3 linked regions of the Sus scrofa genome follow. The protein of the gene in region 1 interacts with the protein of each later gene in a pairwise test. Links are inferred from orthologs where the notes say so. Each region holds a gene or a part of one and is shown on either strand. Other genes may lie near its edges.

Region 1 (8,227 bases):
CCTGGGAACATCTATATGCTGCAGGTGCAGCCCTAAAAATACAACAGCAACAACAACAAGAAACCAACCGTGAGAACCTCTGAATTCCAAGATCTTTGCAGGAACTGAATTCTTATCTATTGAGAGCTATGAATCCCCTCCTCCAGGACAGAAGTCCTCAAAGTGTGGTCTGGAAATCCCTGGATGTCCCTGCAATCCTTTCCCGAGTGCATAGGTCAAAACCATGTTAATAATAAAATGAGACATTCTTTGACTTTTTTTACTCTCATTCTCTCATGTAGCTTTCCAGAGGCTCTGTCACCTGTGATGACATCAGAGTTCTGAGGGATAATGGAATGTGTGCTTGCGCATTCCTAGTTTTTAAAATGTTCTCAGTTTTCTTGTTTTCGTTTCTTTTCCTTTTTTTGGCTGTGCCTGCAGCATGCAGAAGTTCCCACGCCAGGGATCAAACCTGAGCCGCAGAAGCATCCCAAGCTGCTGCAGTGACAATGCTGGATCCTTAACCCACTGCACCACAAGGGAACTCCTCAGTTTTATTTTCTAATGTGGCAAAAATCTCTTTCTATGAAGCCCATGTATACAAAACTCCTTGGGTTCCTCAATATTTAAGAGTTTTAGGGGTTCTACGAGTTTGAGATGGCTGCTTTCGGAAAACAGTTGGTATTTTGAAGTTCCAAACGTCAGCTGCAGAGGGTCACCTCATCCCAGATCATGCCCTTCCTGGGGCAGCCAATATCCTCGGGGGACTGATCAAAACTGGAGTGCAAGGCAGGGTTTTGGAGGCCTGATGTCAGATACTCTGATGGGCAGTAATCACTCTAGCATGCCCCACTGAGTTGGCCAATTCTTTATTTGGCCTGCACTGCAGTTCATCTTCTCCTTCAGCCTAAATCTTTCTCTCACATCCATTCATGAGGCTGATTTCCACTCCATCCCACCAAACGCCTTCGATACCCTCACCCCTCGTTCCACCCCACCCCCAAAAAGGCCCAAATAGGGAAATACATTGCACATGCAGAAGAGCCTATGTGAGATCATTCTATTTCCTCAAACCTCAAGATAATTCATTTTTAAAGTGTCTTCTTGGGGGAGGGAGTGGGGTGGACTGGGAGTCTGGGGTTAATAGATGCAAACTATTGCACTGGAGTGGATAAGCAATGAGATCCTGCTGTACAGCACAGGGAACTCTATCTAGTCACTTATGATGGAACATGATGGAGGATAATATGAGAAAAAGAATGATGCATATATATGTGTGACTGGGTCACTTTGCTGTACAGTAGAAATCGACAGAACACTGTATACCAACTATAATGGAAAAAATAAAAATCACTAATAAAAAAAAGTGTTCTCTTCCCATTTTATAAAACTTACTCACCTTCACCATTTGTTATCACATAGCATTTGATTTTATACTGTATGGCATCTATCTCACGGGAATTAATCCTGATTCTTCAACAAAATTGTGAGTTCTTTGAGCAGAGGGAACAGTGTAATAGCAGCACCTACAGGTCATCAAGAGCTGACAATGTTCCCAGCTTTGACCGTTTTACGTATACATCTCATTCATATTCACAACTCTGTGAGGTGCAAATTATCCCACTGCATAAATGAGGATATTGAGGTTCAGGAGGTTTATGGTTGATGGCTTACCCAAGCTATTAAGTGGCAGAGTGATGACTTACACCGAGGTCTAAAGATTCTAGAGCCTATAGATCACTTTGCTAGGTTCTTCTTTTTGTTTTTGTCTTTTTGCCTTTTCTAGGGCTGTTCCTGTGGCATATGGAGGTTCCCAGGCTAGGGGTCTAATCAGAGCTGTAGCCACCGGCCTACACCAGAGCCACAGCAACACGGGATCCAAGCCGCGTCTGCGACCTACACCACAGCTCACAGCAACGCCGGATCCTTAACCCACTGAGCAAGGCCAGGGATCGAACCCGAAACGTCATGGTTCCTAGTCAGATTCGTTAACCACTGCGTCACAAGGGGAACTCCACTAGGTTCTTCTTTTTCTTAAATCCTAATACTCTCTCAAGACAGAGCACAGATGTTTGGTTGACTCAGAAGGCCCCTTGTTTCCTGGTACTTACAGCTCTGCAGCATCTCTGTCAGTGTTTCCACAGATGCTTTCTCAGCGCTCTCAAACCCTGCCTCTGTTAACAGGGAGCTCACAACCACTTGCAGAGTTCGCCTCCGGGCCAGATGGTAGTTATCAGCAGGGTTAGTGGACTGTTTACTTCCTGATCTCTGTAAATCAGCAGCCCAGAAAGAGAATACTTTCATCCTCAGGACGAGGATGCAGTCATGTAGTTCACATATTGTCAATGGCAAACAAAGGTTCTTTTGCTAAATCTTTATGTATCAGTGTGGTAGCTCCTGATGTTTAGACTTACAGCTCTTCGCCAAATAACTGAGCACCCAAGTGGCTCTAAATTCGAAAACAGCCTTTCTGCCTAGGTAAAACTTATCAATTACAATAGTACAAAATGGCCGTTTCCTACTTTCTATTTTGGATTATCTGAATATATAGCTGAAGAAACATGCAGGATAGAATTGAATTCATTGGTCCATCTCCTAGAAAAAAAGTAATCTCTCTTTTGTCCCTCCCATCTCCACACCATTAACGAGGAAAATTAAAACAACAAACAACACATGCTGCTGAGTAGAGGAGGGCAAATGATAAGAACATCGACAAATTAAAAAGCTAAATATTTTGAAACAGGAATCCCTCCCAACTTTGGCGGGCCAATAAGAAGGCGAAAAGAGCCCCACTGGACCAATCAGGAGGTGTTCCGGGTTCCCAACCCCCAACAGAGAATGAGCCAATCAGTACACAGGTCCACCAACTCCCGAGGCCGCCGCCAAGTCTCGAGGAGGAGGAGGGGGGCATATACGGCCTGAAAGACCTTCCTCCACTCAGAGCATGTGGTGGGGCCCTATTTCTGGGTGTGAACATGTTGCCAAGGCTAGGGGGACATTACAGAATCCCCAGGCTCTCTGGGCTTCCGCCCCGCGCCTCCCGCCCTTACCGTTCCGGAGGCCCCGGCCCCGGCAGTGGCCGCCGCGTCGGCCATCTTGCTCTGGCGTAATGTGCGCGAGCGCACGGCAGGATGGGACTTGTAGTCACCCGGCGGGGAGGAACCGCGAGGGGGCGGGGCCGCGCGCCCCGTTGGGCTTTGTGGGGCCCAGCCGGGTCGGGGGTGAGTCTGGTTATCCCGGTTCACGTGACCTGTGAACGGTGGGTTCAGCGAGCCCCGGAAGTGGCTAGGAAAATGAGCCCTCGGTTTCACACCTATTTAAAAACGAAATCGTTTTTCATAAAAAGCACATCCCTGGAACGCTCCAAACTTGCCTGATTGTTAGCCACACCTGGCTAGGTCCGGCGGATCCCCGTGACTTTACTCTCTGGAGGAGGGGTCTTGGGCATCTGTATTCTTAAGTTCTCCAAGTGAGTCTCCTGAGCCTGGATATTTGGGGAAGCTTTGTTTTGTGCTGACGGACCCAGAGCCAGCCAATGGCCCACTTGGAACGAGAGCCAGCAGTCACGTAATCCAGGTGTGCCACTGCATCCGGCTGCCTTCTCGCCCTCAATTAACCCTCAGGTATTTTTGGGGCGAGCCGGGAGGCGTCGGCGGTAGGAGGCTGTCCGGTGCCTGCCTCACTCCCAGGCCGTGGAGTCTACGTAGTGCCTGTGGTTTTCTGCGGTTCACTCGCGGGTCAGCCCCTCTGGATGGGGGTCCTTCATGCACCGCGCCTCGTCTGTCTCCGTTTGCGGGTGCCCGGCAGCTCGCAGAGGCTGGGTTTGAATCTCAGCACTCGCCAGCTGTGGGACTTCGGGCAAATTACCTAACCTCACTTTGCCTCAGTTTCCTCTTTCGTGAAATTAGGGTGGGATGGGTAGCCGCGGGGGAGGGAATAAGCTAATATACACAGAGTTTATCACTGTGCAGACTGAGAGTAAGAGGTCAAGAAGCAGCGCCTAATGTTATTTATTTCTTGCGTGGCGAGTGGATGAGCAGAAAACGCTCACATGCAGAAGTCGGGGAAACCTGCGCCACGCCTGCCCCGCCGCGCGCACCTGAGCGTGGGGGGCGCCCGGTCCCCTCACCTGGGGCACAGGGGGCAGGTCTGACGGTCGGGGTCGCTGCGCGGGGTGAGCCACCCGGAGAAATCGGGCCCCAAACCTGAGTTGAGCAGAGCACCCAGCCCCTTTGTCTCCTCCGCCCCCCCTTCCCCACTTCCTGCCCAGCTTTAAACTCGGGATTGGCGGCGCGGCGCCGACTTTGTAAACACGCCGCGCCTGCGGCGGTGGAGACTGGTTCTGTTTGGGCGTCTGGGGGAGGGGTGCACGCCCCTCCCCGCGGCTGGAGGTGGCGACCCCCCACCTCGCCAAAGACAGAAACCAGAGGCGGCGGCGGGAGAGTGTCTGCGGCCACGGCCAGTGCTCCGGGGGGCTCACCTGCCGAGGAGGTAGGCTTGAAGGCTGGAGAAGCCAAGATAGATGGGTGTCAGCATCTCCCCGCTTCGCTGGGGCCTTCGAGCTGAGGCGGGACACCTGGGCGGGGAGTCGGAGGTGGCGACCTGATCAGCCTCCTCGATGTCTCTCAAAGCTCGGTTCACTTTCTCTCTGAGTTGCAGAGGCTGAAAGGCAGAGAGCTCCCCCAAAGCTCTGAACTTTCTCTGTGTCCACACAGGCCCTCTTCAAACTGATCTGGAAGCCTAGTGACTTCACTGGGCTGTCTGTCGTCCTTCTTCATAATTCAGAGATGGGGTGGGAGGCAGTAGGGGGGCAGACCCAGTGTGGGCAGCGAGCCTTGGGGGTCCTCCTGCCAGCCAGGGCTGAGGGAGGAGGCCAGAGGACTGGAAGGAGGAGCCTCTCAGTGGGGGTCCCTTTGGTGTCTGCGGGTTACACAAGTGACGGCTTTAGCCTCTTCTGTGTCTTTTAATGTGTCAACAAGAGGATTAACTGAGGAAATTGGTTGCTATTATTCAGAAAGCATTACGGTATTCATTTGCACACATTGAGCGCCTAGTATGTGTCTGGGATGGTGTGTGGGCGCTGAGGGTGCAGTGATGTTATTTGTCCACAGTGATCTAGCCTGGGTCATAGAACACCAGAGATAAGGTGCCAGGTTGGGGTGGCTGGGAAGGCTTCAGAGAGAAGAGGACATTTGAGTTGGCTTCTGAATGATGACTAGTCCCCAGGCAGAGGTGTGATGGGAAGTCTTTGCTGGGCACTTATTGATTCTGCAGAGCTGGACTCGCCCCTGACTGTGGCATTGGGCCTTGGAAAACAGTGGGCACCCAGAAGCCGTCTCGGCATTCTTTAACCCACTGTCTAGACATGAAGAAGAGATAGGAATGTAACAGGATGACTTTAGGGAAAGGCATGTGTCCGGGCTGGTCCCCAAGAACCCAGAAATTTCCAGCTGGACGAAGCTAGGAGAGTCCACCCCAGGGGTGATGTAACAGTCCACACAGTCCTGGGGCACCACCCACTCCCCGTCCCTGGATGCTGGGACTGCGTCCTCTACCAAGTCCTTGCACTGTGCCCTTTCTCTTTGGGACCAGAGAGTGAAGAGAACTGGATTCCCCCCATGCTTCCCTGTAGGTTCTTCTGCTTTTTCAGTCCCCAGGCTCCCTTGGGAGATGGCTGACACAGCAATGGATTCAACCATCCAACACCTGTTTGCTGTGGCCACACTGTCTGCACAGGACATAATGGTTGACAAGTCAGAGCCTCTGCTCCCCTGGACTTTAGGATCAAAAGCGACTCTGAGAATTCCAGCAGGAACCTAGTCTGTCCGGTCCTTGAGCCCATGACCTCCGAGTGTCTTCTCTTTGCCATTTCCTTCCCTAAAGGGTCCAGAGCAACAGCTAGGGCTTCTATAGCACTGTCAAGTACCCTCCTAAATGGTTTTGGTGTGATGTCTGGTTTAATTCTTCTGCCCGTCCTGTGAGGTGAGCGCTAGGATCATCTCCATCTTCTCGTTGAGGAAACAGGCACAGCGACCATTTTCCTAAAGAGGACACCAGGCGTAAATGGCAGGGCTGGGATTTGAACCCAGGTCGCTTGACTTGGGAGACCTGGGTCAGCTGACCTGTTCTTAACCATTAGGCCAGTCTGCCTCCTTGACCCACCACATGGGATGTGAGCCTTGAGCCAGGAGCTTAGATGTTTCCGAAAGGAAGCTGTGGTCCTGTATCTCAGGCGATACAAAGGAGAGCAGCAATCTGTTAGCTGAGCTTGGGTGCTGGTGCTATTTTCAGGGAGCTCCAGGAAGCCTGGAGAAGGGTTATCCGGACAACGCAGAGCTGGTATCCTTTGCTCATGGCCGTGTGTGTGTGTGTGTGTGTGTGTGTGTGTGTGTGTGTGTGTGTGTGTGTTTTATGTGTTTTCCTGAATGTGCATGTGTTGTGTGTTTTTCAGTAAGCCTTTGATGCAAAAAAGATGCAAGGAGGTGATGTGCCAGAATCTGGGGAGATGGGAAACCAAGCTTCCTCTTTTGTTGGGAATCTGTAACAAGAGCAAAGACCCTCATATTCTAGACTCCAAGGGGAACGGATCCCAGTTGGTAGCTGAGCAGGGAGGATGGTCGGAGAGCGGAGTCAATCTTAAGATGCGCACCTTTCCTCCCTGCAGTTGCTGCCTCCCAAAGTTGCATGAGAGCATCTAACCCCCCTCCTCTAGGCAGGCTGGGACCTTGCCCCTGGGTTCTTGGGGACCAGGCCACAGGACAGAAGTTCTATGGCTTTCAGCCATTTTCCCATCCCTTTCATGAACTCTCGCTTTCTCACATGAGCCCTCTGAACAGAGCAGATCTGGGGAGGCCCAGGAGCTGCCCCTCTCTGCCTGCAGTCACACCACCTTTAGTGTCTGTCTTTGAGGGAGGGGTGTGTGTTGGGGGTGGGGTGTTAGTGCCGGGAGTAGAGCGGGGCCGATCCGCGGTCGGTTGGTCGCAGGTAAAGCGGGATGTGACGGTCAGAACTAGGTAGACCTCCAGGCTGCTCTTCTCCACGCCCACCTCCCTCCCTCTCCGGGAATAGGGTGAGGTGTGGTGGCAGCCTTGGCACAGGCCCCCGCCCCCGGAGCTGCCTTCTCTGTTGAGAACAGGTTGTACTCTTGAGAAACCACAAGAGGAAGTTTAGGGAGCGCTGGGGGTGGGGAAAGTTCTGGGGCCCCTGCCAAGTTTCCCTTTCTCTGCTGAGTGGTAGGTGTGTTTATTTTGGTGTGTTTCTCTTGCCCTCAAAGACATTTAAATTTTAAACCCACTGAGTTTCACAGAGCTGTCAAGGCCTGTTCCGTTACAGTGTGTTTGTCTTGGAGGGGGTGAGAGTAGTCAGAGACACCCCTGGAAATGGCTTTGCAACAAGGTACTCAGTTTTTGGATTTCACCTCGGATTTGTGCTGGTTAGGAAAGGCCAGCTAACTTCACAAAGTCTTTTCTCGTCTCTGCCCTTTCACCTCCCTCTTCCCCAAAGCACTCCCTACAGCCTCAAACACTGGACAGTGTGGTTATAATGGCCACTTGGGAGCCAAATGATGTTGCCAGGAGCTGTCCTATGTGTTCCACCTGCCTTATCGCCTTTAATATTCACCATAACTCCAGGTAGTAAATGCCTCTATCCCCAATTTACAGATGAAGAGACTAAAGCACAGAAAGGCTTAGAATCTTGCCTGAGGTCACACAGCTAGTAGGTGGCAGAGCCCAGATTTGAACACTGGTCTGACTTCAGAGCCTGAGCTCTTGAGGTCTATTTAACCCTCAAATCAGAGCATCAACGTCTTCAGCATACCAAACCCCACACAATAGGAGGTTGAGATCTAAAGATGTTTTTAAATGGTGCTGCTAGTGTTGGGAGGGGGCGACTTGGGTATAGAATTGGAAGAGAGATTCTCTGAAAGTTAATATATGAAAAAAGGAGTTCTTGCTGCGGCTCAGCAGGTTAAGAACCCAACATAGTGTCTTCGAGGATGTGGGTTCGACCCCTGGCCTGGCTCAGTGGGTTAAGGATCCGGCAGCTGGGATCTGGAGTTGCTGTGGCTGTGGTGTAGGCCGGCAGCTGCAGCTCCAATTAAACCCCAGCCTGGGAACCTGCATATGCCGCAGGTGCATCCCTAAAATAAATGCATGCATGCATGCATGCATACATAAATAAATAGGATAACTGGAGTTCCTGCTGTGCCACAGTGGGTTAAGAATCCACCTGCAGCTGCTCCAGTCAC
Region 2 (8,027 bases), on another chromosome or scaffold:
TTTCCTGCTGGACTTGGGCTGGTTACAGCTGACCAGTGGCAGAGGACTGCGTGCAGAGTAAAGCGGTGTGAACGGGGACTGGTGTCAGTGTTGTCCATGTATGCTTAGGTTCTAACAGCAAGTTTTGGAAACCTCTCTTTACGTAATGCATTACTTCTGTCAGAAGTGTCTTTAAGGTGGTTATCTAGTTCAGTACTCCAAATTATTGGGGACCTTGAGGCTTAAAGTATTTTTCTGAGTATAATGCTAAAGGTAAGTTGCATTCATTTAAACTAATAGAGTAGACAGAGTTCAGCACTATCTAATGATTTTTAAATCAGCGGTTTTAGTTGTACATGGAGAGGAGAGGTAGAGGGGAGCAGTTTCCATAGCTAATAGCACTTTTAAGCGGAAGATCCTTGGAACCTCAGTCTTCAGCCTACTGTGTTACTGATACACAGACACTGTCACTGAGGGACATACTAGGTGAGTGAGAGGAAACCAGAACACTTGTTCATAGCTTTTTTTTTTTTTTTTAAAGCAAATCACTCACTGTATTTTTATGGCTGGAGGGAGAAAAAGTGTTAAAATGGTTTCTAATGAAGTCAGATATTTAAATGATGAATGACTAATGTGTTTTGTAGAGACAATAAACCAATAAATGATTGTTCTTTGTCATTTATCCAGGAAACTGAAACCCTTTTCTCAATATAACTAAACAAAGAGTAATTTATAAACGCTTTATTGAAAAATACACTTATTTTCATATAAAATTACAGTAGCAGTATCTTGAGAGGTTTTTATAAATATTTTTGCAGAACACTATTCTAGGTGAACAGTGTGAGTTCCGTATTTCTTTCAGAGCAATATGAAGTTACCTAGTAACTTTGTTTATACTGATTCAATTTACAATTGAATTTTCTCCCTAATAAGATTATTCAACTTGAAAACTGCTGGAATAATAATGATTAATAAAGGTGTGTGTGTATATATATATGTATATATATATAATTCAATAGCTGTTAAATTAGCATTTTCTAATTTGTAAAAACGGTACTATGTACTAATAAAACCCCAAATTCTCCAACCTATTTTATTTTTTTAACTGCCAGGAACACACCCAAAGATATTTAAAATATTTCACCGTAATAAAGACACGTGTCTTTTGGATAACTACCTCCTAAAGGAAGAGGTCATAATTTTTCATAATCCCTTAATTCAACTTGATTTAAAATCTTTACTTAGCCCGTTGATCCTTATTAACAAAAAACTGGAGAATTTAAAACACATGTCCAAAAGGTAGCTACTGGGGCTTTAACAGTTTTTAAAAAAAGTACAAAAGCATCAAAGAGGACACTGAATTAAGTTCAGCCTAGAAGTTTTGTACTTAATAAAGTTCACATTGTAGAAAGTGCCATTGCAAATATACAGCAAAATCTGGGTTACAAAATCATGCTTCTTACAGCCCTAAAGTGCCACTTCTTATAGGTTCACTCACACATTGCACACAATCAAGCACTTGTCACACTGCACCACACCTAATGGGGAGAGGAAAGAAATTACACAAAGGGAATGGGAGACTTGGACTAATAACCTAGGACCTCCAAATCGGGCACTATCTTGCTACCTTTTAGGAATGCAAAAATCTTTCACTCCTACCAAATTTTTTCGGACAAAATACCTAGTTTTTGTTTGGCTTTTCATGAGGGCTAGAGCTGACCACAAAACAGGTAGGAATGAATTAAAACACAGTTTCTCTGCTGGAACATGTTAACAGAGACCTCTCCCACAGATATCTGAGTACACTCTGTTCTCTGCGATACTTGTAATAGCTTTGCCAAAGAGTTAAAAAAAAAAATCCAAGTTTGGATTCTCAGCAGCCTTAATGGCAAGCACTGAGTGGTAGGAAAAAAGGCAGCTGGGATGAGTAAAAATATCCTAAAGATACTGGAAGGATTAAGGAAAAGAGCCCTACATTCTAGCATGCATTAAATGATGCTGCTAAACAGAGTTTGTGAAAAGACAGGTTCAATACAACAGACTAACCTCAGTGGGAACCTCGGTCATTAGCTACATCTTGGAGACGGCGTAATAAGGCAGAATGATTTTCTGGGCAGATTCTTTTTGCGGGTGATTCACTTCCATCTTCCAAAAGAATCCCTCTCTTTTTGGTTGGAGTTTCTCCTGTCCGTATCATACTGTTAATTTCTCTCAGTCTCTGGGGTGGGGATAGATATAAAAATATTAAAATTCTAATATACATAGTTCAATGTTAAGTCAAAGATCCTCCAATGAGTTAAGCAGTTTACCTTGAGGAGTTTAGACATCTTTATAGAGGAAAGAACTACTAAATTTAATATCCTTCCAATTTCACCTCTCAGCTGGCTGAGATTGATAACTTGGATAGAGGCAGAGTATTCGTTTTTTAAAAAAAGCTCCAGAGGTGATTTTGATATACACTTTACCACAGTGCAAAAGTTGACAAATTTGTGGGGTTTTTTCCCTTTCACAAAAGTTAGAGGATCACACTGCTATGCCATATTTAATCAATTTCATACACCTCCATTTTCATTTCTTTAAAAATAGCATGACTTTATACAGTATTATGCCCACCCAATGTTAACTCATTTTTAAAGCAGCCATGGAACTTCACAAGAGAAGCCTTAACTCAAGTATGTGGGGTTAGTAAAGGCCAAGATTTAGATTAGGCTCACCTTTGAAGGACTGTTGCTGAAGTAGTAGAAAATCTTTTCTCGAGGAGAAAGCATTGCTTCACTTTTATGTGGGGAAATGTAGACAGGATGATTTTGAGACAACTGTATTCGGCGAGGCGAGCCTGATCTTATAAATGGATAGGGAGAGAGTGGAGGAGCATCCATCTGTTAAAAAAAATTGCAATTTTTAAGAAAGGTAAAGTTTCTAACTAGTTTTTTTAAAATGGTTTTTAGTGTAAGTGTGAAAAGGTGTAATAAACCCATAGCTTTATGAATGGTGGATAGTGATGTATTAGCAACATTTAAAGCCCTACCAGTAGCAAACATTTAAGGGCTTACTTTGTGACAATCACTGTTTTAAGCATCTTTAACGCATTCTGTCATTTAATCTCACAACAACCCTATAAGCAAGGAACCTCCATCTGTTCCCATTTTATGTATGAGGAAACGAGAGGCACCAAGAAAGTTAAATAATACACAAGGTCACCAGAGCTGGTAAGTTTTGGATAATTTCTACTATACTTTGAGAGAAGCCAAATAAACCCTGTTACTCTTATTTATTAATGCTTCACAACAATAGAAATTGTTAGGCAAATAATTTCTGTTAGAGACTTCCTTAGTCTTAACAAAAGAATTATATGTAAAACTAGTTTACAGAGAAGCAGCTCAAACATAAATGATTCCTCAAAAAAAAAAGGTGATTCCTCATAAGTGAAAAAAGTATGAAATAATTCTCAGTATACTTACTACATTTGCCTGTGAGTACTTCAGGGCAAATGTTTTAATTTGTTTTATGTAGATGCTGTTGTAGAACTGAATAAGATCTCCCCTCTCCTCCTCTTCCATGTCACTGTTGGCACCTGTGAGGCGAGTAGGTGTAGGAGGGGCACTGCTGGGCTGTGGAACAGGCAAGGTGCTGCTTGACCTCATGACAGGACTGGAGTCTCTACTGGCTGCAACCGGTAGAACAAAGTGTTGAAGACTGCTAATGCAGACTATTTTTTAAAAAATTCAGTCAGGAGGTCCTGTTTTGGCTCAGGAGAAACGAATCTGACTAGTATCCATGAGGATGTGGGTTTGATCCCTGGCCTTGCTCAATGGGTTAAAGATCCAGCATTGCCATGAGCTGTGGTGTAGGTCACAGACATGGCTCAGATCCCATGTGGCTGTGGCTATAGCAGGCAGCCACAGCTCCCATTCGACCTCTAGCCTGGGAACCTCCATATGCTACAGGTGTGGGCCTAAGAAGCAAAAAAAAAAAAAAAAAAAAAAAAATTTCATTTAGATACACTACCTGCTCTACCTGTTTAAATGGCAGCAGGTGGGTGCTCTATTCTACATACCAGGGAGTGAAGCACAGATACTATTAAGTACTAACTTATACTACCATGCTATTACCACAGCAAAGGTTTACTGAGTAGTTTTAACTTGATACCAAGTTTTTTAGGACCTGAGCTTTGCATTGACTGGTGTCAACCAACAATTAAGGATGGTATTTCCATAGCATGGTTTCAGTGGACATGCCACATTTTTCTGGAACTCAGGTCAAAAAAATGCCTCACTTCTCTAATTTCCCAGGAGAAAAATATTATGCACAACGTGTCTCAAAGCCCTGGGATAAAGGATAAACAACTTTGCTACTAAATTTAGAGTTTGGTTTATTGTTCCAACAAATCTTTTGCCAATAAAATACTTTCATGGCTTCCATAACAGTAATTTCATTTAGTAATCCTTAGTCTTCTAGGGCTAAAACAAGAGAAACTCCTAATTTTTTATAAGTTCATAAAGATCCCACTTACTTCTATCTTTGTTCAGTTCTGTTGGAGAATTCTGATGACTTCTACTATCACTGCTGCCAGAATTTCTCCTTTTCCTTTTCCCTTTTATCAAAACGCTTCTATACACCTTTAGAAAGATTATAAGAAAGGAACTGAAATGAGTATTTATCAAGCACATTCTAGACTATTTGATATTAACATGTTATTCAATTCTCACAATTCCATATAGTAATCGTTGTCCTACTCATGGGAGGTTAATAAGTACACTCAAGGTTATATATCTTAGTAAATAACAGATATTGGATTTATACCAGGGTCTATCAGGCAGTACTTCAAGGTACTGCCTACAATACAGTAATAGTATCCAACCATAAAATCAAGTCATTCTAAGTCAAATGCAAAGATCTCACAGTCTTAGGTGTTTATTCTGGAGAAAAGGCCATAGAATCAACTGTAGTTAATTTTTTCATATTCATCAAAGACTTTTATCTTTATTTTCAGCTCTAAAAGAAAGTGTAGTTACCTGGCTTCGGGCTTGTGGCTGAGTCCTATAGCAACGCATAATATTCTGGAAGGACTTGTCTTCTTTTGTGACCTGACAAAGAATAAGAGTATTCTGAGAAATAATTTGATTTTTCGCATAATACTTACTATGAGATGTTCCATGAAATGGGTGAAAATTGTATTTAAAACAACCATTTAAAGTGTCTGGAAGGGTACATATAGGATTTAAGATTTGCAAGATGAAAAAGTCCTGGAGATCTGTTTCACAATAAAGTGAATATACTTAAAAAATAGTGTCTGGAAATGGCCCTGAAGGCATACAACAAATGAGGAAAAAAATATTCAAGAAAATCTACTAAAATCCAGTTAGCAACAGAAGGAATTAACGGTATGTGAACCCAGATCTAGAATAAAAAATTACAGTAACAAAAAATTCACTGGAGGATAAAAGAGATTTGAATTTGCAAAGAAAAAAAAAAAAAGCAAACCTGAAGCTAAAGTTGTGCAATCCAAAAGAACAGAGAAAAAAAGTTAACAGAGCTTCAAAGAAATATGCCATGCCACTAAGCACACCAAGATACACATAATGGGAGTAACATAAGGAAAGAGAAGCAGAAAATAATTATCAAAGGCCAAAACCTTCCCAAACTTATTTTAAAAATAATCTACACATAAGTAGGATAAATGTGAAGAGGTTAATGCCCAGATATAGAGTAAAAAAGCTGAAAGCCAAAGAAAGGGAGAAAAAATCTTGATGGCATCAGGAGAAAAGCAACTTTTTGCTTTCTAGGAAACCCCAGTAAGTAACATCTTTTCATTAAAAACTATGGAGGCTATGATGGAATTCCTGTCATGGTGCAGCAGAAATGAATCCACCCGCAACCACGAGTGGCAGGTTTGATCCCTGGCCTCGCTCAGTGGATTAAGGATCTGGCATTGCTATGAGCTGTGGTGTAGGCTGCAAATGCGGCCTGGATCTGGCATTGCTGTAGCTGTGGTATAGGCCAGCGGCTACATCTCCCAATTTGACCCCTAGCCTGGGATCCTCCATGTGCCGCAGGTGTGGGCCTGAAAAGACAAAAGAAACAATGGAGGCTATGAGACAACGGACAAGGTAAAACCTAAGAATCTAGCATCCAGCAAAGTTATCTTTCATAACTGAAAGTGAAATCTCAAAGACAGAAAATGTGCTACTGGCACAACCATCTTGCATGAAAATACTGAAAGTTCTTCAAACTAAAAGTGACCCCATACAGTAATTCGAATACACATGAAAAAACAAAGGGCAATGGTAAAGATAACTGTGTAGCTGGAAAGACAGTAGAAAGTACATATTTTCAACTGACATTTTAAAAATTATATACATATAATTCATACATATATGAATGTGATATATATTTGCCAAAAACAGCACAAAGACAATGAAGAGCAAAGCTGTACTGTCCTGAAGGAAATGACTATAGACGACAACTCAAATCCCCATGAGCCAATAAAGAGAATCATAAATGGTAAATAAGGTTAATGTAACAAAAGCTATAAATGAATATTTGTATTCATTTTTTCTCTCAGCTCTTAAAACTTATAAAAAATGTATTTTTAAATTTATAACGTTTATGGATAAATGTGTAGCAGTATTATCACATAAATAACAAAAAGGAAAGTTACATAGGAGGTACAATTCTATGTACCACTGAATTCAGTATACATTTGAAGCTGGATTTCATAAATAAAGATTATATGTGGCAGTTGGAGGAAGTGGGGAGATTGATCAAAGGGGACAAGCTTCCATTTATAAGATGAATAAGTTCTGGGGATCTAATAAGCAGTATGATGACTATAGTTTAACTGTACTGTTTGAGAGTTGATCTTAAATGTTCTTACTACCAAGAAAAAGCTGGGTAATGGATGTTAACTAACCTATAGTGGTAATCATAATGCAACATACATGTGTATCAAATCATCACACTGTACATTTTAACACAACGTGGCAGGTCAATTATATCTCAATAAACCTGGAGCAAAAAGAGCACAAAGGGGAAAAAAAAAAAAAACATGCAAGCCCTAAAGAAACCACTAAGAAAAAAAAATAGTTAAAAAGTCATTACTCGGAGTTCCCGTTGTGTGGCTCAGTGGTTAACAAACCTGACTAGTAACCGTGAGGTTGCAGGTTCGACCCCTGGCCTCACTCAGTGGGTTAATGATCCGGTGTTGCTGTGAGCTATGCTGTAGACTGGCAGCTGTAGCTCTGATTAAACCCCTGCCCTGGGAACTTCCATATGCCACAAGTGTGGCCCTAAAAAGACAAAAGACCAAATAAAAGTCATTACTGAAATTAAAATGCTTCATTATTTACCTGTAGTAAGTGAAAGTAGTAAAGGAGGACTAGAGTATAAGACATAAGACATGCATAAAAAACAAAAAAATGACAGATGTGATAAATCCAGTTAAAACTAATGTTGAATGTGAATGGATTAAACACCACAATCAAAAAGCAGAAATTGTTAGATTGGATTTAAAAAAAGAGATATAACTACACTCTGTCTATAAGAGACACCCTTTAGATTAAGATATACAAAGAGATTTGAAAGAAAAGGATGAAAAGATACATTATGCCCAACAGCAACCTCAAGAAAGGTGGGGTGGCTATTCAACTATCACACTATAAAATAGACTTGAAAACAAAAAAAACTCCGGTTGTGGCTCAGTGTGCTAAGAACCTGACATAGTGTCCTTGAGGACACAGGTTTGATCCCATCCTTGGCCTCTCAGTGGGTTATGGATCCAATGTTAACTCAGCTGTGGTGTAAGCCAGCAGCTGCAGCTCAGGTTCAACCCCTAGCCCGAGAACTTCCATATGCAGCACATGTGGCCACTTAAAAGAATTTACTAGAGATAATGAGAAACATTTCCTAATGATGAAAGTATCAATCTATAAAGAACCTCTAACAATTAAAAACACATACACCTGATAACAGAGCGCCAAAATACATGCGGTAAAAACAGAAATGAAGACAATTCAATAATAGCGTATTCAATACCCCATTTTCAAAAT
Region 3 (8,227 bases), on another chromosome or scaffold:
GGAGGTGTCTGGGAAGTAGGGGTGGGGGAGGCATCTGAGTCCTGGAGGGGCCATGGATCCAGATCAGGGCCAGGCATGGGGAGAGGGCTCAGGGCGCCAAGACCCGGGCTTACCGGCACCACTGACGACCCACTGCCCATAAACTCGAATATGCTGGGGAACTAAGTGCCCGCTGGCACCCGCTCAGCAGAAGGGACTCAGGCTGCTTGGGTAGGGCAGTTGGCATCAGGACTTAACTCTGTGGGAGCCAGCAGCTGGAGCGAGAGAAAGGCACAAGGGGCCGGGAGCAGGGACCAGGGGCTTCTCAGTCAGCATACACCACAAGCAACTGGCAACATGACTCCCATACCCAGTTAAGTTCGTCTGCAGTTGTTAAAAAGCATTCTACCTGGCCGTCCTCAAAACCCCATAATCTCCACCTACGAGCAAAACCAAATGGAGAGACAGTCCGTAGAGCACCCAACCCATACTCTTCAAGACCATCGAGATCCTGAGACAAGGCAAGTCTGAAAAAGCCTCCGCAGACAGACCAGAGGCAGCCAAGGAGACGCGACCACTAAGTGTAACGTGGCATCCTGGGGGGATCCTGGAACAGAGGAGGGGCGTTGGGGAACAAGTGGCCAAATCCGAGGACCAGGTGGAGTTGAGGCGATAGAAAGGGGCTGATGTTGACTCCAGTGTTGTGACAAGTGCGCCATGGCAATGTAAAGGCACCGACTTCTACTCCTCTGCACGGCCTTCACAGCTTTTCTATAAATCTACAATTATTCCAAAATAAAAAGTTTATTCAAAGAAAAATACTCTGCCTAGTCCACCCGTCATGACCTAGAAGGTCTTTTCAAGAGAAGAGTGGGGGGACTGTGCCCCCTCGTTGCCAACAGCCTGCCCAAGAGTCGACCCTAATCCTACCTGCTATGGCTCAAGTACCTACACTGAGGAGGGCAAGGAGAAGGAGGTCCTTACTTCTCACTTAAAAGGCCTTTGAAAGCACTACGGCTTAGCAATGGAGAAAACATATCCACCTCCGTAACAACAGAAACCGCTTATGTAGCACCTGATGTGTGCCAGGAACTAGGCTATGAGCAGGTGGCCTGGATTTACTCATTTAAATATCAGACAACACTAAGAAGGAGGCACTACGGACAGCCACTTACATCTGTATGTTTCTAGTCACTAAACTCCTGGCACTTTCTGTATGTTTCTAGTCACTAAACTCCTGGCACTTTCTAGTCACTTTTATCCTGGCACTATTTTTTTTTTTTTTTTTGGTTGCGCCCACAAAACTTCCCGACCAGGGACCAAACCCTCACCAAGTAATAACCAGAGCCACAGAGGTAACACCAGATCCCCAACCTGCTAGGCCACCAGAGGACTTCTGTTCTGGCACTATTAATGGAAACCGAGGCACAGCGAAACTGCCAGGAAGCTAATAAGTGGGGTATAGTCAGGGTGTGAATCCAACAACTTGCCTCCAGAGTCTGTGCTCTTAACTACTACTCCATGCCGCCTAGGTAATAATGTGGCCCCAAAGGACAAGTGCTCAAATACTGGCACAGTGGACAGGAAGTACTCTAAGGGAACGGGGTCAGATCCCAAAAAGGGCTTCCTGTAGGAAGAGCAGCCTGTACTGGGTATGTAATATATCAAATGATCAGTATAATTAACACTGCTGTATGTTACATATCAAAGTTATTAAGAGAATAAACCCAGAGTTCCCTTTGTGACTCAGTGGTTAACGAACCAGACTAGGATCCATGAAGATGCAGGTTCGATCCATGGCCCTGCTCAGTGGATTAAGGATCTGGTGTTGCTGTGAGCTGTGATGCAGGTCACAGATGTGGCTGGGATCCTGCATAGCTATGGCTGTGGCTGTGGCGTAGGCTGACAGCTGTAGCTCCATTTCAACCCCTAGCCTGGGAACTTCCATATGCCTCAGATGTGGCCCTAAAAAGCAAAAAAAAAAAAAAAAAAAAAAGAGAGAGAGAGAGAGAGAATAAACCCTTCCATATGTCATACCTTTGGCTCGGATCTGATTCCTGGCCTGTGAACTCATATGCCATGGAGTTGCCAAAGAAAAAAAGAAATATGTATTTTTTCTAAGTATCTATTTATTTACTTTTTTGGGTCTTTTTCGGGGCTGCACCTAAGGCATATGGAGGTTCCAGGCTAGGGGTCGAATCGGAGCTACAGGTGCCGGCTTACGCCACAGCAGCACCAGATCCAAGCCACATCTGCGACCTACACTACCGCTCATGGCAACGCTGGATCCTTATCCCAGTGAGCAAGACCAGGGATTGAACATGCATCCTCATGGATGCTAGTCAGATTCGTTTCCGCTGCACCACAATGGGAACTCCCTATTTCTATATCTTTAATTTCACATCTACAGGAAATGATAAATGTTCACTAAACTTATGGGTAATCAAATTGTTATACTGTACACCTTAAATTTATAAAGTTTAATTATATCTTGAGTAAAACTGGAAAAAAAAAAAGCACATGCACATGGAACAAAACAAAAGAGGCCCATGTATCATTCCAGGTAACTCAAGATCTGGGTCTCCCACCTTTGGATCTTGACTCAGTCTCATAACCACCACCAAAGTCCTGAAAAGTTGTACTCCAGGTGTAACGTCTAGATGTGGATGAATGGGGGAGGAGAGGGGCTTGCAGCAAAGACCCTCGTCTACGGGGTCTGGTGGAAGGCCCTGTGTAATGGGAGGGACTGGCCAGGAAGCCCCATCTCTTTCAGCAAATGGAACTACAGATCTCCCTAAGTCTGGCAAAGGTGGAAAACTGATCTGGGGGTGAGGGTGGGGTGCACGGAGGTAGAAAACCATTTGAAAGGACGTCTAGGTGAGGGGCAGGGACAGAAGAATGAACCAACGGGCCTGAAAGGCGTGCTAAGGATAAGGGCTAAGGGGAAGCCAGCAGGGGATGGACACGAGAGTCTGGGCAATGATGCCTTGCTCCCGGCAGCAGGATGGGGCTGAGCGTCCATCGTTTGAAATGGGGGAGGGCAGGGATGCTAGAGCGAAGGAGACACAAGAATGATCTATTAGCAGGTGTTGGATGGTCGAGTCTGGGGCTCTGGCCAGGGGAGTTGGAAGGGGTGAGACTGGTCCCCAGAGGTCCTTGTTATGGATAATAAAAGCGGTTGGACCAGGCATGAAGGAGGGCTGGTTTCACAGACACCGACTGCACGGATTTTCACAAACGACCCCACTAGGAAGAGGTGATTATTCTCATTTTACAGGTAGTTCCCTATCTACGAGGCTAGAGAATTTAAATTATTTGCCCAAGGCCACCCGCGCCCGTCTGCGATTTGAATGGAGCGCGGTCTGTGACTCAAACCAGATCCTAAGCCACAACAAGGGTTCTCAGAGTGCCGTGGCAGTTGAAGAGATCAGCACGTGGCTGGCCGGAAATTCGTGAAGCAAGAGAAAGGAAAGGAGAAATGAACTCGTGCAGGGATCGGGGAAGAGGTGAGGCTGAACCACCAGAATGAGAGGGAACAGAAAGCCGGACCCCGGATCAGAAGGAGAAAGGGGCCCCACCCGAGTGGGGGTGGTCCAGGGGGTCGGGAGCAAAGCAGGGCCAGATCCTCAGGTCAGAGGAAGGGGAGGGCTGAACGCCCTGGTCGGAAGTGGGGGACAGTCCCCGGGATCCCCGAGGGCTAGAGGCCAAGCCCGCCTCCCGGTTGGGGCAGCGCGGGGCGGGGCGCGGAAGGATCCGGGCACGCCGTGCTGCGCCGCCCCCGGTATATCTGTCCCCAGTCCCCCGGGCCGCCTCATTCCCCATCCTCAGATCACAATCTCTCCTCACAGTACCGCGACACCTCCTCCGCCCGCGTAGCTCCAGCCATGGCTCTGTAGCCGCGACCCCTCTGTGCCCCCGGCCAGTCGCCGTGCTCACCGCGCCTGCGCTCTCCGCTCCTGCCGTCTTTCTTCAGCTGAGGCCACCGCCGCCTCTTCTTTCCGCAGCCATGGAGTGAGTAACCGCTCGCTCGCCCCTCCCTCTCCAACCGTCTTTCCCGCCCTTTCCAAGCTCGCGGCCCTCACCACCGGGCTCGGGGGGGTGGGGAGACAAGAGTGAGGAATCACGGTCGCGCAGGCGCAGAAGAGACAAGACGCTCCGTTTGCGCGCTGCGGAGCATGCGCACTCAGCTGATGGGGGGAGGGTGCGTTCTTCCAGACAATGTTGGCGTTTAAAGACGACCACATGCGTTTGCGCCTGCGCACTAGCTCCCAGAGAGGGTGGGTTTCCCCCCTCCTCCCCGCTCTGATTGAGTCTGTCAATCAGCGATTGCTCAGATCCACCGGCGCTTGTATCTCGGAGCAAAGGGCTGACGAGCAGCAGCCGCACGTGCGCAGCACTGATCCCGAGGAGGGCGGAGCCTTGCGGGGGCAATAGGACAGCTCTGGGGCTGGAGCCTGCGCTTTGGCCCTCGGCGAGACAGCCGTGTACGGGGGTGGGGGGAGGGGGAGTCGGGAGCTGTTCTCATCCCGCCCCCCTCCACCCTCCGCCTCCCTCCAGTTTGCTCAGGCGTAAAAGCACGTCTTCCCTCCCTTTCTTTCAAGCAACTACGGGGGCGGGGGCGGGGGGAGAAGGCGGGGCTTAGAAACGACCAGTTAAGGGACGGGAGCTAGGATAAGAGACGTCGCGGAGGGTGGGGCGGGGGCGGGGTACCCTTTGGGAGAAGGGGCGTGGCTAAGCGCGCCGTGCGCTGAGGGGGTGGGGTTTATATTGAGAAAGAGGCGGGGCCTCTGGGAATCGTCGGGGAGGGTGGAGCTAATAAACCAGGGGGCAGGGCTTGGGGGGACGGGAGACCACTGCAAAATTCGAAGGGAAGAATGGGATTTGAATGGAGGATTTTGATGAAGGGGCGGGGCAGGGGGATTCCCCTGGGAACAGATTCACAGCAGGAATCTAGGGACAGGGTGGGGCCTAAAGGATATGTTTTAGGGCAAGAGGTGTGGCTGGAAGAAAATTCCCCTGGGATTGAGGTTTTTGTGTTTTTTTTTTTTTTTTTTTTCCATGAGAGATAGTATTATGGGGTGGGTGGGAGGGTCTTAAGGTAATTCCCCTGGGACACCATTATGTTTCAATATTGGAAGGATTGGGTCTAGGGAATTCTGAGGAAAAGTAAGTCGGGGCCTAAAGAAAATTCCCTTGGGAATGGGTGGGGTCCCCATTTGAGGAAAGAAAGGGCAGATGTAGAATTCCCAAAAGGTAAGGAATCCTGGGGACCTGAGGGGGTATCGCTTGGTTTCCCCATGGCCTTGGCCGTTGGCGAGGCTGGCCCCTAACCCACTCACTTTTGTCTCCCACTCGTAGGTCCTCCACTCTCGCCTTGGTGCCCGTCTTCGCCCAGCTGAGTAATCTCCAGAGCCTCCTGCCAGCTGTTGGTGCAGCCTCCTTCATTGCCATCTGTGCCCCGCACCCGAGCTGCAGCCATGTCACTCCTGGCGACCCTGGGGCTGGAGCTGGACAGGACCCTGCTCCCAGCTAGCGGGCTGGGCTGGCTCGTAGACTATGGGAAACTCCCCCTGGCCCCTGCCCCCCTGGGCCCCTATGAGGTCCTTGGGGGAGCCCTGGAGGGCGGGCTTCCAGGGGGGGGAGAGCCCCTGGCAGGTAAGGGTAGGCAAAGAATGGAGGTGGAGTCATGGAGTGAGCTGGGGTCAGGGGGCAGGGGAGAAGAAGAATTCATTCATTCGTGTATTTATTCCTTCAATAAATATTTCCTGAGCACCTATAATATGTCAGGCACTGTTAGGTGCTGGGGATACAGCTGGGAACAAGACCGACGTGGTGCCTACCCTTTTGGCGCTCACACTCTACTGGGGACAGACAAGAGACAAATGACGATGTGTGGGGATAAGCAGGAAACAGTAGCTGAGCTCAAAAGCGACAGCGAGGACTAGTTTACAGTGGGGAGCTGGGACACCCTTTCCAAGGCAGTAACATTTTGGCTGAGGCTTAAAAAATGGTACGGGAGTTCCCGTCGTGGCGCAGTGGTTAACGAATCCGACTAGGAACCATGAGGTTGCGGGTTCGATCCCTGCCCTTGCTCAGAGGGTTAACGATCCGGCGTTGCCGTGAGCTGTGGTGTAGGTTGCAGACGCGGCTCGGATCCCGCGTTGCTGTGGCTCTGGCGTAGGCCGGTGGCTACAGCTCCGATTCAACCCCTAGCCTGGGAACCTCCATATGCCGCGGGAGCGGCCCAAGAAATAGCAACAATAACAACAACAACAAAGACAAAAGACCAAAAAAAAAAAAAAAATGGTACGGAATGAGCCATGAAAAGACAGGGGGAGGAGTGCCCATTGTGGCGCAGTAGAAACGAATCCGACTAGGAACCATGAGGTTTCGGGTTTGATCACTGGCCTCGCAAAGTGGGTCAAGGATCTGGAGTTGCTGTGGCTGTGGTGTAGGCCAGTGGCTACAGCTCTGATCCGACCCCCAGCCTGGGAACCTCCATATGCTGCAGGTGCAGCCCTAAAAAGACGATAATAATTAAAGATGAAATCAGGTGTGTTTATGTGTGATCTAGTTTGCCATTTGAGAATGAACTAGAGGGAAAATCAAGAAACCGCAGGTGCAGAGTGAGGGTGTTGGAGGAGTTCCCTTCGTGGCTCAGCAGTTAACCTGCCTGTCTAGTATCCATGAGGATGCGGGTTCCATCCCTGGCCTCACTCAGTGAATTAAGGATCCGGCGTTGCTGTGAGCTATGGTGTAGGTTGCAGACACGACTTGGATCCTGCATTGCTGTGGCTGTGGTGTAGGCCGGTGGCTACAGCTCCAATTCGATCCCTACCCTGGGAACCTCCACATGCTGCAAGTGGGGCCCTAAAAAGCAAACCAAACAAACAAAAGGCTTGAAATGGTTGACTGTTTCGTTGAGTGGGTCGTGGTTGGTTGGCTTATTCATTGATTGCTTAGTTAATAGGTTGATTGGTCTGTGGATTAGCAGTTGGTTGACTCAGTTGATTGGCTGGTTAGCTGTTTGGTTGATGGGTTGGGTAGTTGGCTAGTCTCTTGGTTTATTCATTGGTTGGTTGACTGATTGACTGGTTGCTGGTTTTACCGAATGAATGGGGTGAATGAGGCGGACAGGGGTGAGACCTGGCTGGCTGAAGGACTGGGAACTCAAGGAACTTTCTGTCCCTCTCCAATCCTCCAGGTGACGGCTTCTCTGACTGGATGACCGAGCGGGTGGACTTTACAGCCCTTCTCCCTCTGGAGCCCCCCTTGCCCTCGGGTGCCCTCTCCGCAACTTCCCCACCTGCCCCCGACCTGGAAGCTATGGCCTCCCTCCTCAAGAAGGAGTTGGAACAGATGGAAGACTTCTTCCTCGATGCCCCACTGCTCCCACCAACCTCCCCACCGCCGCCACCGCCAGCACCAGCACCCTCCCTCCCTCTCCCCCTCCCCACCTTTGACCTCCCCCAGCCCCCTGCCCTGGACACCCTCGACTTGCTGGCCATCTATTGCCGCAGTGAGGCCGGGCCGGGGGACTCGGGCTTGGCGCCCCTGCCCGCCCCCCAGCAGCCCCCTCCTCCTCCTCCTCTGCCTCCGCCTCCAGCCTCTCGCCCGGCCCCCTACCCGAATCCTGCCACCCCCCGAGGGGACCGCAAGCAAAAGAAGAGAGACCAGAACAAGTCCGCAGCTCTGAGGTACCGCCAGCGGAAGCGTGCAGAGGGCGAGGCCCTGGAGGGCGAGTGCCAGGGGCTGGAGGCGCGGAACCGGGAGCTGAGGGAGAGGGCGGAGTCGGTGGAGCGGGAGATCCAGTATGTCAAGGATCTGCTCATCGAAGTGTACAAGGCGCGAAGCCAGAGGACCCGGCACAGCTAGGGCCTCCGGGCGGTAGGGGGCGCTGCTCGTCAGCTCCGGCTCCCTCCTCTTTCGGGGGCTGGGCTGGGAGGGCCTCTCCGTCATCCCCGGCTTCCCCCTCTCCCCAGGTACCCTGGCCGACCCCTCCTCCCTCTCCAGGATCGCACACTGTTTGGCCTTAGTCAGTACCTACCCCCTTCAAGTACCAGCTGGAGGACCTGAGGCCCCAGGGGAATGCAGGGAGCAGGGCAGAGCTTGCAAATCCGGTCTCAAGCCGGGAAGGGAAGCCAGGAAGCTCTGCAGAGGGGGCTCTGGAGACAAAGTCAGGGAGGGTTTTCAGAAACGTGCCCATAGAATATGAGCAAAACAAGCCGAGTGACCTTGGGGAACTACA

Evidence for each region.
Region 2: the proteins of CCND3 (region 1) and RBL2 interact in a two-hybrid assay, tested with the Homo sapiens proteins (2 studies listed by BioGRID). The link is inferred for Sus scrofa from reciprocal best matches to the Homo sapiens genes CCND3 and RBL2.
Region 3: the proteins of CCND3 (region 1) and ATF5 interact in a two-hybrid assay, tested with the Homo sapiens proteins (2 studies listed by BioGRID and IntAct). The link is inferred for Sus scrofa from reciprocal best matches to the Homo sapiens genes CCND3 and ATF5.

What each region holds. Positions count from the first base shown.
Region 1 is NC_010449.5:37,177,406-37,185,632, reverse strand, and holds the start of CCND3 (G1/S-specific cyclin-D3), read left to right. Parts: upstream 1-3,170; 5' UTR 3,171-3,555; exon of another isoform or gene 3,556-6,363; intron 6,364-8,227. Other genes in the region: TAF8 (transcription initiation factor TFIID subunit 8), read right to left, coding at 2,091-2,247, 3,030-3,074. UniProt on the Homo sapiens protein: Regulatory component of the cyclin D3-CDK4 (DC) complex that phosphorylates and inhibits members of the retinoblastoma (RB) protein family including RB1 and regulates the cell-cycle during G(1)/S transition.
Region 2 is NC_010448.4:31,757,218-31,765,244, forward strand, and holds the end of RBL2 (retinoblastoma-like protein 2), read right to left. Parts: intron 5,067-8,027; coding exon 4,995-5,066; intron 4,599-4,994; coding exon 4,493-4,598; intron 3,647-4,492; coding exon 3,441-3,646; intron 2,859-3,440; coding exon 2,694-2,858; intron 2,198-2,693; coding exon 2,027-2,197; 3' UTR 501-2,026; downstream 1-500. UniProt on the Homo sapiens protein: Key regulator of entry into cell division. Directly involved in heterochromatin formation by maintaining overall chromatin structure and, in particular, that of constitutive heterochromatin by stabilizing histone methylation.
Region 3 is NC_010448.4:54,941,670-54,949,896, forward strand, and holds the start of ATF5 (cyclic AMP-dependent transcription factor ATF-5), read left to right. Parts: upstream 1-3,397; 5' UTR 3,398-3,485; intron 3,486-3,711; exon of another isoform or gene 3,712-3,827; 5' UTR 3,828-3,990; exon of another isoform or gene 3,991-4,171; intron 4,172-5,337; 5' UTR 5,338-5,456; coding exon 5,457-5,634; intron 5,635-7,183; coding exon 7,184-7,854; 3' UTR 7,855-8,227.